Linked DNA regions of Lonchura striata. The main gene of each other region encodes a partner of the protein of the gene in region 2 in a complex. Links are inferred from orthologs where the notes say so. Each region holds a gene or a part of one and is shown on either strand. Other genes may lie near its edges.

What was found. Proteins that work in one complex are often made in the same cells at the same time.
Region 1: the proteins of PARD3 (region 2) and CDH5 are in contact, whole or in part, in an NMR structure (PDB 2KOH), measured with the Mus musculus proteins. The link is inferred for Lonchura striata from reciprocal best matches to the Homo sapiens genes PARD3 and CDH5. Residues at the interface, in NP_296369.2 of Mus musculus: Ala599, Gly600, Leu601, Gly602, Val603, Ser604, Val605, Lys606, Gly607, Arg609, Lys611, Lys622, Ile625, Asn655, Gln656, Met659, Arg663, Met666; in NP_033998.2 of Mus musculus: Tyr774, Gly775, Asp777, Gln779, Glu780, Glu781, Leu782, Ile783, Ile784.

Annotation. Positions count from the first base shown.
Region 1 is NC_134615.1:2,279,328-2,286,872, reverse strand, and holds the start of CDH5 (cadherin-5), read right to left. Parts: upstream 3,020-7,545; 5' UTR 2,806-3,019; intron 1-2,805. UniProt on the Homo sapiens protein: Cadherins are calcium-dependent cell adhesion proteins. They preferentially interact with themselves in a homophilic manner in connecting cells; cadherins may thus contribute to the sorting of heterogeneous cell types.
Region 2 is NC_134603.1:143,725,867-143,733,822, forward strand, and holds the start of PARD3 (partitioning defective 3 homolog), read right to left. Parts: upstream 3,018-7,956; 5' UTR 2,889-3,017; coding exon 2,769-2,888; intron 1-2,768. UniProt on the Homo sapiens protein: Adapter protein involved in asymmetrical cell division and cell polarization processes. Seems to play a central role in the formation of epithelial tight junctions. Targets the phosphatase PTEN to cell junctions.

The DNA.
Region 1 (7,545 bases), on a different chromosome or scaffold from region 2:
ATTTCTGAACATGCCCTCATTTTGCACAGGTTTAGTGCCAGCATTGCTTGGTGGGACCCCTGGGTTTGCAGGGACTCTGGCAGGGGCCAGGCTCTGGCGCAGGATCCCTGGAAGCAGCACAGCCCGTGGCACCTGGCCCTGACAGGAGGGTTTGTTTTCTGTGTTTGCTCCACCTGCATGGCCCTTGGCAGAGCAGAGCCCTGAAGGGAAACCCACAGAAAACCTTTACCATGGCTCAAAAGAGTGTCCAGCTCCGGGCTCACCAAGCTCTGTGTGGGAGCTGCTCTGGTGGCTGTGGGCTGGGCACCTCTGTCCCAGCAGATCTCCAGTCTGCCCCAGTAATCCCTGTCTGCTGTGCTCCGGGGAGGAAGGGAAACCGCTCACACCTGTGCTAAACTCTGAGGGGTTTTCAGCTTGTAAACTCACAAAGATAACAAGGGAAACCCATTTGTCAAATTAAAAAACAAACAAACAAACAAACAACCCCAAACAAACAAACAAACAAACAGAAAGTACCAAAGTAATTTAATGCCCAACAAATTTCTCACAAAGGGAACCTCTTATTTTCTTCTTGGCACTAACATTGGAACCTCTGAATTAAACTTGTAGAATCTGACAAAACCTGGAATTATGATGAAAATACAATGGCGATTCCTTACAGAAAGGTCAGCTGCCAGAAATAATCAGTTATCTTGATTCTGTGAACCTCTGCTCTTTTAGAAAACAAAAAGTATTTACTGGCCTGATTTAAACCTGTAGTTCTGTAGACACATACCCAGAAAACAAGAGTTTTAGGAAAGTTTTTCTATTTTGAATTTGAAATATTAATTGAAGTAGTTGATTTATGAGGGACAGTGAAGTCCTTTGTTCCATAACTGCTGTAAATCACTTTCTGAACCATGGTTTCTGAACCATGCCCCGTGATTTTTACCTCAATCCTGTTTTCAGCCAGTTTCCCTCAGCAGAGGCAGGATGTGAGGCAAAGCTGGCAGCAGAGCTTTTAACTCTGCCCTGCCTCTGTGCCCCATATCCTGCAAGCTGCATGTTGCTCAGGGACATGCTCTTCTTCCAGGACTCAATTTCAGTGTTAACATTTATTCTAAAAATGTTCAAAGAACACTGTTACGGGCTTCTGTTAAAGAGCAAAGCTTTGGGAAATGCTTCTTGTTGCATTGCAATGCAGCTGTAGCAGTCTGAAAAATAACCCAGGTTTGTGGCTTTGTGGGCAAATCAGGAATGACTTTTTAAATTGAGTTTATCCTTTGCTTTCAAATTAATTTGTTTTATTACTTGTAAATGCACATTATTCTCTCTAGCATACTGTACTATTCTAAGGCTTTCGTATGCTAAATGCATCCTATGTCCTTTTCTCCTGTGGGTCACCTTTTATTTAAGGATAAAAGGTAACTCTTGGAGATATCAGAGATAAATTTCAAGTCAGCATTTCTGTGATTTGTTTCTGGTATATGGGTTGTTGTTACCAGGCACACATTAACCTAAGATGAGAAGCTTTTGTAAATCATTGGAGCATCCTTGCTTTTGTCTAATATATTTTCCTGCATGATCATCGATAATACTGTGTGCTTTTACAAATGCTGATCTAATGATTTATATTCACAGGAGGCAGAGAAACATTGATTAACTATACCTTTGTTAACTGCAGAAACAGCCAACTTGGAATGTTTTTGGGAGCTAAGAATGAAAGAGATTTTCTCACAGAAATTAATCTTCTTCCATATCTTTTTTCCCCTTGCATTTCTTTCCTTCCTTTATCTTTATTACAGTGTGACAGCCAGCACGGTGAGGTGCTGTGCACACTGACAGTCCCACTATTGCAGAATAGATTTCTTAGAGAAGAACCACTATCAGCTCATCTCTTATGCATACATGCTTTGTCTCTGCAAGCTGCACAGCAAGCTTGTTAGTTCAGGGACCTGCTACACCTGCTCTAGGACAAGATAAAAGCCTTTTCAAACAACTTTTTGTGTCAAGCCACTGCTCATAAAATAACCCATCAGAAAAAAAAGATGGGTCTTTTTGAACCACTGAGATCAAGAAACCTCTGGAATAAGAATTACTGGTCTTTTAGAACAGGGTCTGTAAAACCTGGTACTCCAGAGTTATGGCGTTAAAGTACCTGGGACTCTTTAAACTTATGAATTAGGACCAAATCACTGACCTGGATTTATATAAACTCCCTTCCCAGTTTTTAACAGATATGCCAGTGCACACGGTGGCTGTCACCTCTTGGCCCAGGGCACAGGAAGGCCCCCCACCTTACAGACCCCAAATCCACCCCACTTCAATAAAAAATTTGCATCAAATCCCAGCCCAGCACACCTCTGCTCACTGAAAACAGTCCTGGAGCTGCACCTGCCCACACCAGTAGGGAAATCCCTTCCTAAAGGCTTTACAGGTGCATTTTCCAGCATATTCTCCACCTCTTTTTCATTATAGATGAACTTTGGCAACACAATCTAAATATTACAAAGCAATACTCAAAAAACCCATGAAATGTCTCTCTCTTTTTTTTTTTTTTTTAATAACCTGGGAATATTATAGCCCAACAAAGCCAGAGATTTTCCTCTTGCAGTGTCAATTGTAAAGAGCTCTGCTGTTTGTACTTGGTGCGGGTGCCATCAGTGTAACGCCAAAAGGATTTTGTGGACATGTATAAAATTCATAGCCCATTTGCTGATATTTCTTAACTTATTTAAGACATTAGAAAATAATTTGGGTGGAGGTAAAAAACCCTTTGAAATGAACTTCATGGCTGAAGGACAGAAAATAACATTTGTCTCTTACCAGAGTCCGAGGTGGCAGAGCTTCAGTGTGGTACCAAATCAGGCAAACTAAACCCAACAGTATCCCAAAATGTTAAGCAAAATACAAAAAATGAAGATCAAATAGAAAAATCCACTTCTCTTTTCGTTAAGCAATACTGGGAGTGTTCAGCTCTCCAGTCTCCAAGCTTTTCCAGCTGGGAGTCAGCCTTTCCCATCCTGCATCCCGGCATCCTGTTATTGTTCCAAGTCTTACTAATGCAGTGAGAAAAGGGAGTGGAGGAAACAAGATAAAGTTAGCCTTATTATTTCTCTATCTACTTATTTGTTGCTGACTCTAATGAGGGACCTGGATAAAAGGAAACTCTGAGAGAAACACCAGAGTTGGTCTGTTATTTGGTATCGTTTTAGAGAGAATTTTAAGAGGTAGCAAATTTCTAAGAGAAACTTTTAGTGTCTGATCAGCACAGACTATGCCTGCTTTGCATAAACAGGACTTTCAAAGCAGTTTGGAAGTGTCCTACCTATAAGAATTTTTATACCTGGAAACCAAAAAGGTAGAGCCTTCCTGTTAATGAGACTGGGTTCCTGCTAAGCTCTGCCAGTGCTGGGTGTAAAGATGAAATTTCACAGTATTTTTCACAGGTAAAGTGAAGACCAGAGGAGCAAGGCAGTGTAGGCAGGCCTTTCATAAGAAGAAATGTTCATAGCATCTTGATTATGGTGATTCTAAGTCTGGAGACCACTCAGGACACTCAGAAGGGGAAGCTTCAGTGTTAAACTGAACACAAGGGTGTAGCTCTTGGCATTGTGCACTACAAATGAAAGAGGATTTTTTTCATTAAGTAATGCAGAAGAAAACTGAGAAGTGTGGGGTTTACTCAAAATGCACTCTTTGGAACCACTTATAATAAATGCAGGCAAATGTTCAATGTATCTTAAGTATGACATTAGTAATTTTAATTATTGAATTAAATTTTTAATATTATTCCACAGTTAAATAATTTGTCATTACAGTCCAGCACAGGTGGTGGGATTGATTTCCTGCCTTGCCAGGAGGCTGAGGTTGGTCAGATTGTTTCACTTTTTCATGGTGTACATTCATCTTCAGTGAAGATGAATGGCTTCTGAAGGAATTTGTTACATTAATTATTACAAAAAAAAAAAAAAAAAAAAAAAAAAGGAGAAATTCTTCAGTCTTGTGTAAGGAGCCCGAGAGTCCAGTTTCCTTGCAGGAAAATGAGTTGTTAAATAAGCTGTGTCACGGCTGGGAGAGGAGCAGGGAGATGCTGATAGGGGTTTTCCAGGCAAGTGCAGATCTCTGCTCAGGAAGCAGCTCCCTGATAATCAGGTGCCCACAGCAGACAGGGGGCTCAGATAGGATTTACCCTTGCAAGTGGCTCCAGCTGCATTTCCAGCCCCTTGTACCTCTGATGTCCCCGTGTGAGGCTGGGACTGAGGGTGACATTCAAGAAAGGAGGAGGGAGGGGAATCATCCCTCTGCTCAGAGGGAAAAGAGGAGACCCCAGGGCTCTCTCTGTGTGCCCTGAGGCCACAGCTCAGGTTGTCCAGGTCTGTTTTAATGTCTGATAATTACCTTCCTATTATCTGATTTGCTTCTTCTCCCCCAAAAAGTTCAAGGCAAGAACTGAGAAAGTTTCTAAAGGCCTTTTCACATGCTCTGCATCAGAGCTCGATAGAAAACCGAAAATCTTCTGTAAGTTTAAGAGGAAGATACTTCCATTGAAATTGTAGAGACCTGATTTACCATCTAAAACCTTCCAACGATGCTTTATAGATTCCATCTCTGCTGAACTGGTTGTTTAGGTTTCCTTTCTGGCTATGAGGAGAGGTCCATTGAGATTTTATGGAAAGCAGAACCAATTCTAGCAGCCCTCTCCCAGCAGCAGCAGAGCTCCTGGAGGTTCAGGTGCTCTGTACCCTCTGGCTGATCCCAGACATTTGCCCTGCTGTCCCTCCTAGGCAGTGAAAGCACTGTGGTTTAAAGCTGATGACACAAAATGCTGGCAAGCAGGATTTCTTGTAGATCTTAGACTTTCAGATTTTATCATTGTGGCCAAATCATAAGACTTTGGAAAAATTCCTTGGTGGCTCATGCCTTTTGCAAGCCAGAGGGTAATGCTTCAAAAATATTATTAATTCACAGTAAGTTCTGCTAATGAGAAAAATAATTTGCATGATCAGACAACATTGGCAGACATAATTACCTTTTAATTGTGTGATTTTGGGTATGAAATATTATTTAACAGTCCAGCTGGTGGAATTGAAGGGAACAGGTAAAAAATCAATTAGCACACACTGTCTGTGTGACTCATGGATGGAGATGGTGGCAGAACAAAAGGAGTGGTAATTATTTACTCATCATTTCATGGTGCATTCCTGCCATTCCTGTCTCCAAATGGCATCAAGCCCTTTTCAGTTCAGCTCTGCTGTATGAGTTTTCTTCCATGCTATATCCAGCTGCCCTTACTGATCATTTGCTTCTTTCCAGTGCTTTTCCCACAGATGTTCATTAGCTGCTGCTCTGGGGCTCTGTGGCACCTGGGTCAGGTATGTCTGGTTTAGATCAGCATGTCTTTCTGTGAAACTTTGAGTTCAGCCTGTGTTATTGAAATGCAGACTGAGCCATTTGCCAGACTAGTAAAGTTTAAAATAGTCCTTCCTCTCTTGAATGATGGGGTGGAACTCAACTTTGCTTTACAGATGCTTTGCATAGTTTGGATTTGACATTCCTGGGAATCTGAAGCAATAGCTGTCATCTTGCTACTGCTGAGAGGACTGTGTTATAATGGGCAGAAACCCAGCCCTCACTCACCACATTAAATCTGTTAAATCTGTGCTAGCTGTGCACAGACACCCTTGGGGGGTTTGTGTAAGTTACTGGGTTGATAAGTGCACAGAATGAATGTGAGATTAAAGCACCTTTCTTCAGAATTAGATTTTATCTGTTGATGAGGAGATTGATCTAATGATCAGGAGCTCCAGTTTCTCTACTTGCTGTGTTCCTAGCAGGGCAGGCTGACTCGTGCTTACAGCTGGTTTCAGGTTTGCACTGTGTTGCTTGTTCACTGTCTCATCTGATCAGTGCTCTGGAAAGTTCTCAAAGAATTCATGGAAAACATAGTTGTAGGAACAAGTTCATTGCTTTCCTAACCAGCACAAGTCCTTGCAAAGTGGACAAAGTGTCCCTGTACTTTTCACTAAGTAAGAGTTTTCTTCCCTTTTCTTCAAGTAATTTGAGTTATGGTGAAATTCCATATGATAAATAAGCCCTTCTTGATAAGCACAGTTATCAAAACCAAAGGCAGCTATTGACACAGCTGCAACTAATTTTTAATTCTCATCCTGCTATCTGACTCTCACTAGGGAAGGGTTTTACCCTTGCAAGTACAGCCCAGGAATGTTTTTGTAACAGTTATAAAAGTTAGATTCAGTAGTCTGTCCTGCTAAACCCAGCACGTTACAGGCGCTGCGCAAGGGAAGGTGTGCCAAGGCTGGGAATTCAGTCACAGCACTGATACTGTGCCAGGATTTTTCTGACCAGTTAGAAAATAGGGTGGGGGAGAGCACAGGCTCCCAGTTACAAAAATAAACCCCAAATGCTAATTTCCAGCAGCTCAGCTAATCAGTGCAAAATCCCTCCCATCTGAAATGTGCAATTGCATCTGACGGATGTCCGCAGCCTCTCTGGAAGGGCCATTACCTGAAGGTTAAAAAATAACAATTCCTGCTCCGTGTGGAAGGCACAATCTCTGCAGTACCTTGTGTTGTTATTTCTGGGCCTTTAATCAGGGCAGTGCAGTGCTCTCAGTCATTTCCACTTGGTCACTGGTTTCCTTTCTGTCACAGCCTGAGGTGCGCATCCTGGAGTCACTCTGACTCGGCTTCCTCTTGTCAGGTTTTTTAAACAAAGCAATGTAGCTCTGATTTGTTTTTAATTTAAGGTGAATTAAAAAAAACCCAAACTGCTGAAGAATTTCAGTGAAAGCTGGTGGAATTGGGTGCTTGCTGGGGAGGTGTGATAACATCTGCTGAGGTGTTTTCCAGAGCACTGTTCTGGCTGTACCACACTCATTTCACTACAGCAGATCTCTCCTGCAAGGGTCAGTCCCATCCTCCTTAATGAGACCTCTGGCTTCATAAGTATCAAGGACTTAATTAATACAATGCTCAGCAGGGAATGGTCCCAAATGATATTGTTGCCTTGTTTGGAAATGCCAGGAAAGAATAGATGGTACAAAATGCACCCGTATTGTACTAAAACTTTATAACAGCCTGAGCAGAAGCCATAAAATGGAACTGCGTCACCAGTGAGCTGAAGGAAGGAATCATGAATCCCTTTGATGTGCTCACTGAAGACACAATCCACAGGGGTTTGGAACAACAAGCCTGCAGGCTAACTCTAGCACACTAACCTTTACACGTGATTCCAGTTGGAAGAGCAGGTCAAGTGTAGAGGTGTGAAACTGATAAAAAATCTTCCACAAATGTTTTTGATAAACAATCTTCAATTTCAGTGATTTTTTTTTTCACCTGAAGAACATACCTATTTTAATTTGAATGACCCTTAAAATAGAAACCAAAACCAAGGCAATCTGTTCCTTAAAAAAAAACAACGAAAATTGTCACCTTTCATTCATGAACTCTGGTTGTTGAAGCAGCCCAGCTTTAAACTCCAACTGCTCTCCACATGGACCACAAGGACCCCCCTCCCAGGCTGCTGCCACCCTTCTCCTGAGGA
Region 2 (7,956 bases):
TGTCTTTAACTCCTAAAATTTTACAGCGAGGAGAACTGTACTATTATGTGGATTGCTCTCCATAAGTACTTTTTCCATTGTCAACATGTCTCTTCAACCTAAATAATACCAAGTCAGAACACTGAGGTCAAATTTTGAAGCTATTCCCTCCTGGCACTCTGCAAGCATGGTTTTGGGCAGCCTCACTGCTAATCACAACTGGGAAACCGTGACAAAGCGGGGGGAAATCTGGGAAGGGCTGACAACTCAGTTCTCAAGGAGTTCTCCTGAAGAACTTCTGCAAAAAGTAGACACACACATTCTTGAAGGATGAGAAATGCTGCTTTTCCTATAAGTATGAAAACCATAGACTTCATTCAAATATTTTGAATAATCTTCCACCAGATATTCTTTCCATACAAGCATAGTGGTGGTGAAATAGATTTCAGTGTCAGTTTGATACCAGCTGCCAGACTGTAAGTTCATATGGCCACATATACTTTGATCCTCTCAGGAATTACTTTGTCCCCTCTCTTGTCTCCTTACGAAGTGAAGACTTGCACATCTGCTACACAAGCATAGAAAGGAGCCATCTAACTGCTACAAAAATAGAGTCATCTGTGGAGTTCTAGCATCCAAACCAGACAATTACTATGTTACTCTACTGCAAGCACAGCAAACAGCACTATACACCTACTTACAAAACTTACTTACTGTAAGATCCGGTTCCCTCCCACCTAAACATCACCACAGAAAATCGTCAGCAAATTCAAGTTAAAAGTAAGGTTTGACAGTGACCATATAAAACACTCAGAGAAAGCCCATGGACACTGCTACTGTTTTCAACCACAGAATTTCCATCTAATAGAAACAATCTCAGTAATTGCAGCTACCTCAAGTCCATACCAGTGGCATTTAGCATAACCACCATATAAATACTAATAAATAAAACCACCATGTCATTTTAACCCAGGATGCAGAGCTTTTGATACCAGGAACCAGTCAAAGTCTGGCTGCCCCTCTGCAAACTGTCTCTTTAAGAAGTACATGGCCATAGTCAGTTACATGTTTTCCTTCCCATGCTTCCACAGGTGGGCCACTTTTTTTCTATAATGAAATTTGCAATGATGTAACCTTTTCCTGGTCACTGTTGTGTGTGTCCCCTGTGCTTACAACTTCAATCCCTCCCAGGTTTAACATTATCCTGCAGAATGCAACTGCCACCCTTTAACACAGCTTAATACTTGGAAGCCAGGATGCAGCCCATTGCCACAGGAGTTACACGGGCCACAGTTTTGGAAAAAAACACAGCAAAGTAATTATTTTTATTAATGCTCTAACACTGATGAACAAATGCTGCAAACACTTCTCATGTGAATGGCCCAATGAGGCATTCAGTGTTCCATAAACAGTCTCACTTTACTGTTCACTGCTTTACCTTAACCAGAGAGGTACTTTCAGCCCCAGACTCCTACATGCAAGTAGACTGCCATGTGCATTAACTGCTGTATATGAATGACAGCTGGTATGCAGCCACAGCCGTATCCTCAAGAATCATTTTTCTCTTTTTTCCAGACAGAATCAGAATATGTTTGCTGTCTTCAAACCCACGTTCTTAGGTGGGGAGATGATGGGAAACTTAGTTCCTGTTCTCCTCCCAGCATCAGCAATTCTCTATTAAAAAGCTGATTTTAAAAATTTTCTCAGGAATCACTTCAAACCAATCAATGAACCGGTCACAATATTCCTTCCATTGCATGTTTCAGGACAGGCTGGCAGTGTGCATTGGCCAAAGTAAAACCGGTAAAAGTGTAAAATGTCTCAGAAGGGATAAGAGAGAGAAGCACACTAAAACTTCTTGGATCGATAAGGCAGAGGAAAGGGGAAGGGCACTGCTGAAGTTCTCAGCCAACGATGCTCATACTGCCCAACAAACCAGTTGATTAAAAAGAAGTTTGCAGCGACAAGAAAGCACGGGGAGGGTGGGAAAGGGAGGAAGGGAGGAAAGAGAGAAAAAAAATATTTTTAAAAAAAAAAGGAAGGGAAGAAACTCAAAACCCAACATGTTGCCCATGGAGGGAAAGCCAAGTCTGCAGCTGCCTGCACACGCACAGCCAGGGATTTCAACATGGGGCTGCGGGAGGCCGGCGCGGCGCTGCCGGGCCCCGCCGCGGGCCGGGCCGGCGCCCCCCGCACCCCGGGGCGCCGCGGAGCGTCCCGCTGGCGCGCAGCCTCCCCCGGGGGCGGCGGCCGCGGAGGAGCCGCGGAGGAGCCGCGGGCGGCCGCGGGCCCCTCGCAGCCTCCCCGGCGCGGGGGGCGGCCCGCGGGGCGCCGCCGGACGCCCCCGCGGCGGGGTCCCCTCGCACCGCCCTCCCCGCCGGGCCTGGAGGGCCGGGAAGCCTGGAGCTGGATTTCCAGCCCTCCGCGGCGCCGCGGCCCCGCCACCCGCCCCGGGGCAGACCCGGCACCGCCGGACCCCGCGCCGCTCTGCCGGCCGCGTTCGGGCGGCTCCCGCACCGACGCCCCCGGGGGCCGCCGGGCACCGGCGAACAAAGGGCCGCGGCCCGCGGGGAGCCGCGGAGGGGCCGCGCCGGCCGCCGCGGAGGGGCCGAGCCCCCCGGCCCCGCTCCCCGGCGGCGCCGGGCACACGCTCCCGCGGGCTCCGCCGCCGCCCCCGGCCCCGCTCCCGCCGCTTCCCCGGCGGGGCAGCCCGGACTTTCCCCCTCGCTTCCCTCCCCGCTCCGGGAAGCGCCATATTGATCGCGGGCGCCGCTCCCCGCGCCCCTCACCTTGGCGATCGCCTTCTTGTACCGGGTCACCGCTTGCTGGATCAGGCTGAAAACTTTCATGTTCCCGTCCCCGCAGGGCACGACCACCCGCGTCCTCCCGAAGCACACCGTGACTTTCATCCTGTGCGGCCGGGGGGCTCCCGCGTCCCTCCGGCCCCGCGCAGCCTTCCTCCTCCTCCTCCTCCTCCTCCTCCTCTTCCCCTCCGCCCTCCGCCACGGCCGCCCCCCGGCGGGGCGCGGCGCTCAGCCCCCGGCCGCCGCCGGGCTGCCGCTGCGGCCGCCCTGCCTCTGCCCCGGCTTCGCGGCCGGCCCGGCAGGCGCGGGGAAGGGAGGGCAGCGCAGGACTGGCCGGTGCTGCCTTCCCGAGGGCCGGGGGCTCTCACATGCCGCGGCGCTGCCCGCGGCCACCTGCCCGGCTCCTGCCCCGGCGCGCAGCGGCGGCGGGCGGGGCGGCGGCGCTGGCTCCGCTCCGCAGGCGTGGGGCGGCGCGGCGGGGCGGGGGCAGCCGGCCGCTCCGCGGGGCGCCGGCAGCGCGGACGGGGCGGGGGAGCCGGCGGGCCCGCACACGATCGGAGCGAGAGCCCCGAGCGAGCCCGAGGTGGTGCGGCTGCCCCCGCCTCGCTCTGCCCCGCCGGGAACCGGGGATGCGGAGCCGGGGCCGCACCGGCACAAGGAGCCCCGCGAAGTCCTGGTCCCGGTGCACGGGGGGAAACGGGCGCCGCCGCCCTGCCTCAGGTACGCGGGTCCGGGGAAAGCAGGGCACGGCACCGCAGAGAAGGCTGGACACCGCGGTGCTCTGCTGTTCCTCCCGGTGTCCGGGGCACGCAGCCACCGCTCACGGCCGAAATCAGATGGCCTTCCTGGTCGTTCGGGCATCTGTTAACGCAACAGGACCGGCACTGTGCAAAACCTCCTTCATCGTCAGTAACACCAGCATCAATGGAACCGCTGAGCAATCTCCTCTGCAAAGCCGTCAGAAGTCATAGGGGTTTGCAGATATCGTTCACTTTTTTCCACGGATTTCATTGAGGACAATGGAATTGCACAGTTCATTGGTCATTCAGTGTGGCCTGACAATATATATCTTTTGTGTAGATATGGTAAAACAATTTAACTAGAGTGAAAGCAGAGTTTGGAGGACAAGAAAGCAGTGAAAAAAAAAAAAAAAAACTTTCTTCTTCTTCTTTCTTTTCTTTTTCCTGAACACACAGCGCTAAATATGTGAAATTCAAGTAAGCTTTGTAGCACATAATGTCAACATCCTTCTACAACACCGGACAACTCAGCACGTGTCCTCTGGTGCTCCCTGCCCGGCAGCTGTCCCAGCTGGCAGTCTGCTCCTGTTCCCTTAGCAATAGTATTAGTAAATTTAAGAACTTCAAACCTGGTACAAATGGCAAAGCTGTCTGCGGTTTAGTAGGTACAGAGGTATGGAGCAGAATTAATGATGTTTTTAAAACATCAAAGGTAGAATTATTGCCCTGTTAAGTCAAGGGTGAGAATGGCATCCCTAACCCTTTGCATTCTAGTTAGGAGTTTCTAGTATAGAAAATGGAGGAGTCAGTTTATATTAATTTGGTTCCATGAATAATGTCCAATTTCATTCAAATCTATAGAACCTTTTTCTATTAATTTCAGTTTTGGAAAGCTTTGGGGCACTCACAAGATCAAAGAATCCATTTGCTGACCTACAGATAATTTTTAGCTTAGATGCCAGTTTTATTAGTTACCCACCCGAGTTATCTGGACTAATATATATGAATTTAAATAAGAAATAGTCTGCCTTTTAAAGCAGGAAACAAGCACACCTGCGTTGTTATATTTTGTCATATCCCCAGTGTTCACTTGTGTGGAATAAAGGCAGTATGCATGAGCTCAGAAAGGCAGAAATAAAATAAAACTGGTGTAAACAGTTTACAGCTCATGACTGAGACAACTGAGTACACTCTGCAGTTTTATGGCCATAGCTCATCAAGTTTATTATTGGAGAAAGATGAAAATGTCCTCTAACCTGCAGCTTCTGTGCTTTCTAGGTGATCATAAGAGCTGCTGGGAAAGGATGAAAGAGCTATAAATCCTTGGTTTAATATACATCACTTAAGAAACTTGCAGAAAGGACTGTGAAAATGTGAAATCAATAGAGGCTCTTCCCAGGCTGTTTTTAACAAGAACTTTACTATGTCATAGACTTTGTAATGTTTCACATTCAGTTGTCATTTGCATTTATCTGCTAAAACAAAATGTTGCATATTAGAAGTTTTTCCACACTGCTCTAAAACTTGATATTTATAAGGCTTAATACTCTTTCTGGTGGATAGTAACTATTTCACTGTTCAGACGCAGCTACAGGTTTTTCATGTTTTTCTGTGATTTAGTTCCTGCTCCTACTGTCTCTAACAAGTTGCTTGGCAGTTTTCCCAGCTGTTCTAACAGTCTCCTGGAAAAAAAAAAAAAAAAAAAAAAAAAAAAAAAAAAAAACAAAAAAAACCTCCAACAGTTTAGAAAGAAATATTGATAGTTTTTCCATTAAATGTGTGAAACAGGAAAATTCAGTAATGACGTACAAGAAAACAAGTCTGTCCTGGGATCTGATTTAAGGCCAAAACTTAAAGACTTGAACATGAATAGTGATAGACCTAACAGGAATGAGAGCCTCAAAGATTTGCGTTTCTTCCCCACTAGATACACACACAAATTATACACACATCATTCTGAAAGCATTTAAAATAAAATTTACCACATATAGTGTTTGTTTTGTTCTTCCTTAAAAGCAAGAATGAACTTTAAAAAAAAATACAACAAGGCTGAGAGATTGTATGAGGCCTAATTATGTACGGTAAATGAAGTATAAAACATTATTATAAGAGATTATGAGAAAAGGATTATACTAATCAGGAGAAGAATTGGCAAGAGTTGCTGGTTTAAAAAAATTACAACTACTATCCAGGCTGCAATATGGGTGGCATATATATGGTTCTGGATGTTGAACTTTCATGGGCTAACAGACCACAGAACCTGTCAATTCATTTATTAATGGTACACTGATGGAGGATTTCCATGAAAACATCATCTGTCTTGCAGGAAGAAGTAGGTGGTGAAGTATGGGATGGAGAGAATCAAAGCTGCTAATGATCACTAGTCAAGTTTTGTTCAAAACAGCCAACCAGTTGAAAGCCGCTGCTGCAAACATGCAAGGAGTGAGAATCTTGCAATTAAATGCAGATTATCAAAAGCCTTTTTTACGGGAATGGTAAATTATTCAGACAGTGGAATGATGCTGATTTCCAGAGTTATCTCACAGTTTATCCCATCTTTATACTCTACATCAGAGAATTTTTATGGAATAATTCTGGATGTGTTCAGGTTTAGTAGTCTGTTCATGGCATACAGATATTCCCTGGTTTCATAAGAAAACCCCAACTCCAGGTAGAGTATGTATTAAGTTCAGTTTCTTTTAAATATAGATATTTCCTTAAGCCCATTAAAGTTCATACAGTACTGTAGAAAGACCAGTGTCAAACTGAACAGCAAGAGTATTCCTTGAAGAATTACAGGTCTTTTTTTAAAAAGTGCCATTTGTGAAAATGCCTTATGGATATACCAAACAGTACTAGGTTTTAATGATTTAAGATAGCTACCTGCTGTAACACTTCTGCTGAGTTATTAGGTAAAGCCTTAAGTTCCTTTTCAAAATTCTGAATTTAAAGTTCTGAGTCGTTTACATTTTACTCTGAGGTAGAAATTTAATCAAAGTAAACATGTCTGTGACTGAGATCTTTCCATGGATAACCTTTCATCTATAGGAATGGGTTGATTTCTCAGATGTTATATTTTGTGACTTTTTTCCTGCCATACTGATGGTTCTTCCACAAAGAAGTAAGGGAGTGTTTCCCATCATTTTCTTTTATGATTGAGAAAATTATTAAAGCTTTTTAAATAATTTGTGGCTAGCCCTGGTCTAAAAACAAAAACAACAAAAACAACAACAAAAAAAAAAAGAAACTGAATAAAAATTTATTTTCTACAATTTCTCAAAAGGGTCTGGGATTTCAGGATTGAAAAGCCCTCAGATCAGTAAGAGGTAGTTACAGAATCACACATGTATTGATGTTCGACTTAGGGAATGCAGACACACAAATTTGGGAAGACAAGAACTTTCCTTGTGGTATAATAGAAGGAGGAAATTGTAGCAAAGAACAATGTATTGTTTTCAAGAAAAGCCACAAGACTGTTACCCTTTCCAGGGGCTCCAACCTGTGTCTCAAGCAACTTTGGGTAGTGGGGAGGTGTTTAGGGCTAAGGAATGAGTATAGGTAAATTCACTACTCTTTTCCTGAATTTTGCTGTTTTTAAAAGAATTATGTTTGAGGAATTTGAATAGTTTTCTTGATAATGCTCGGGTGGTTTTCACCCATCATGGAACTGTATAAATGGAATTGCTTTATCTAATTTATATCAACTAATAGCTTATTGAGCTGAGATCTGGGAAGGCCTGAAATAAACATATTGAGTTACTTCTTGGTTTGGGCCCTTAAAGGCAATCCACAGGTAAGGAAGCAGAATCATTAGAGGTCTAAAAAGTGAAAAACATGAGCTGCATGAAAAGAGTGAAGTTACTGGAGGTGTCCAGAGCACACAAGGGGGCATTGCCAGGAGATACCAAAATAATCTTTGTGTGTGCTAGAGCTATGGAATGTCATAAGGAAAACATTGACACCAATTGCTTCAGCCTGCTCTCATACCACACACTATATTTATGCTATGGGCTGAACAAAATTATGTTCACATAATGATACAGGTAGGGTTCTGAATGTCCCTGCACTGCAAAGCACAAATCTAAGTCACACATTGGAGCTGACCAGCTCCTTTTATTTGCCCTTAGGGCTATGAGGAGTTTGTAAGCCTGTGCCTGCCAGGAGGGACACCCACCACAGGGACTGCACTGGGACGAGAATGATCTCTCACCTTCTCTCATTTTCTCTCATGCCACAGAGCTGTTCTGCAGCCACCGAGGCTGTTCTGCAGGATCCAGCCACCCTAGGGCTTGCTTTGGGGGTATGAGGTTAGTTATACCCAAAGCACATCATCAGTTATAGTTTCAGCAAGCTTTACAGAGGAAACGAAAAGGGAGAACAGGAACACTGAATGTCAACAGCTGAGACCAGAAAATCCCTGCAGAATTTCACAG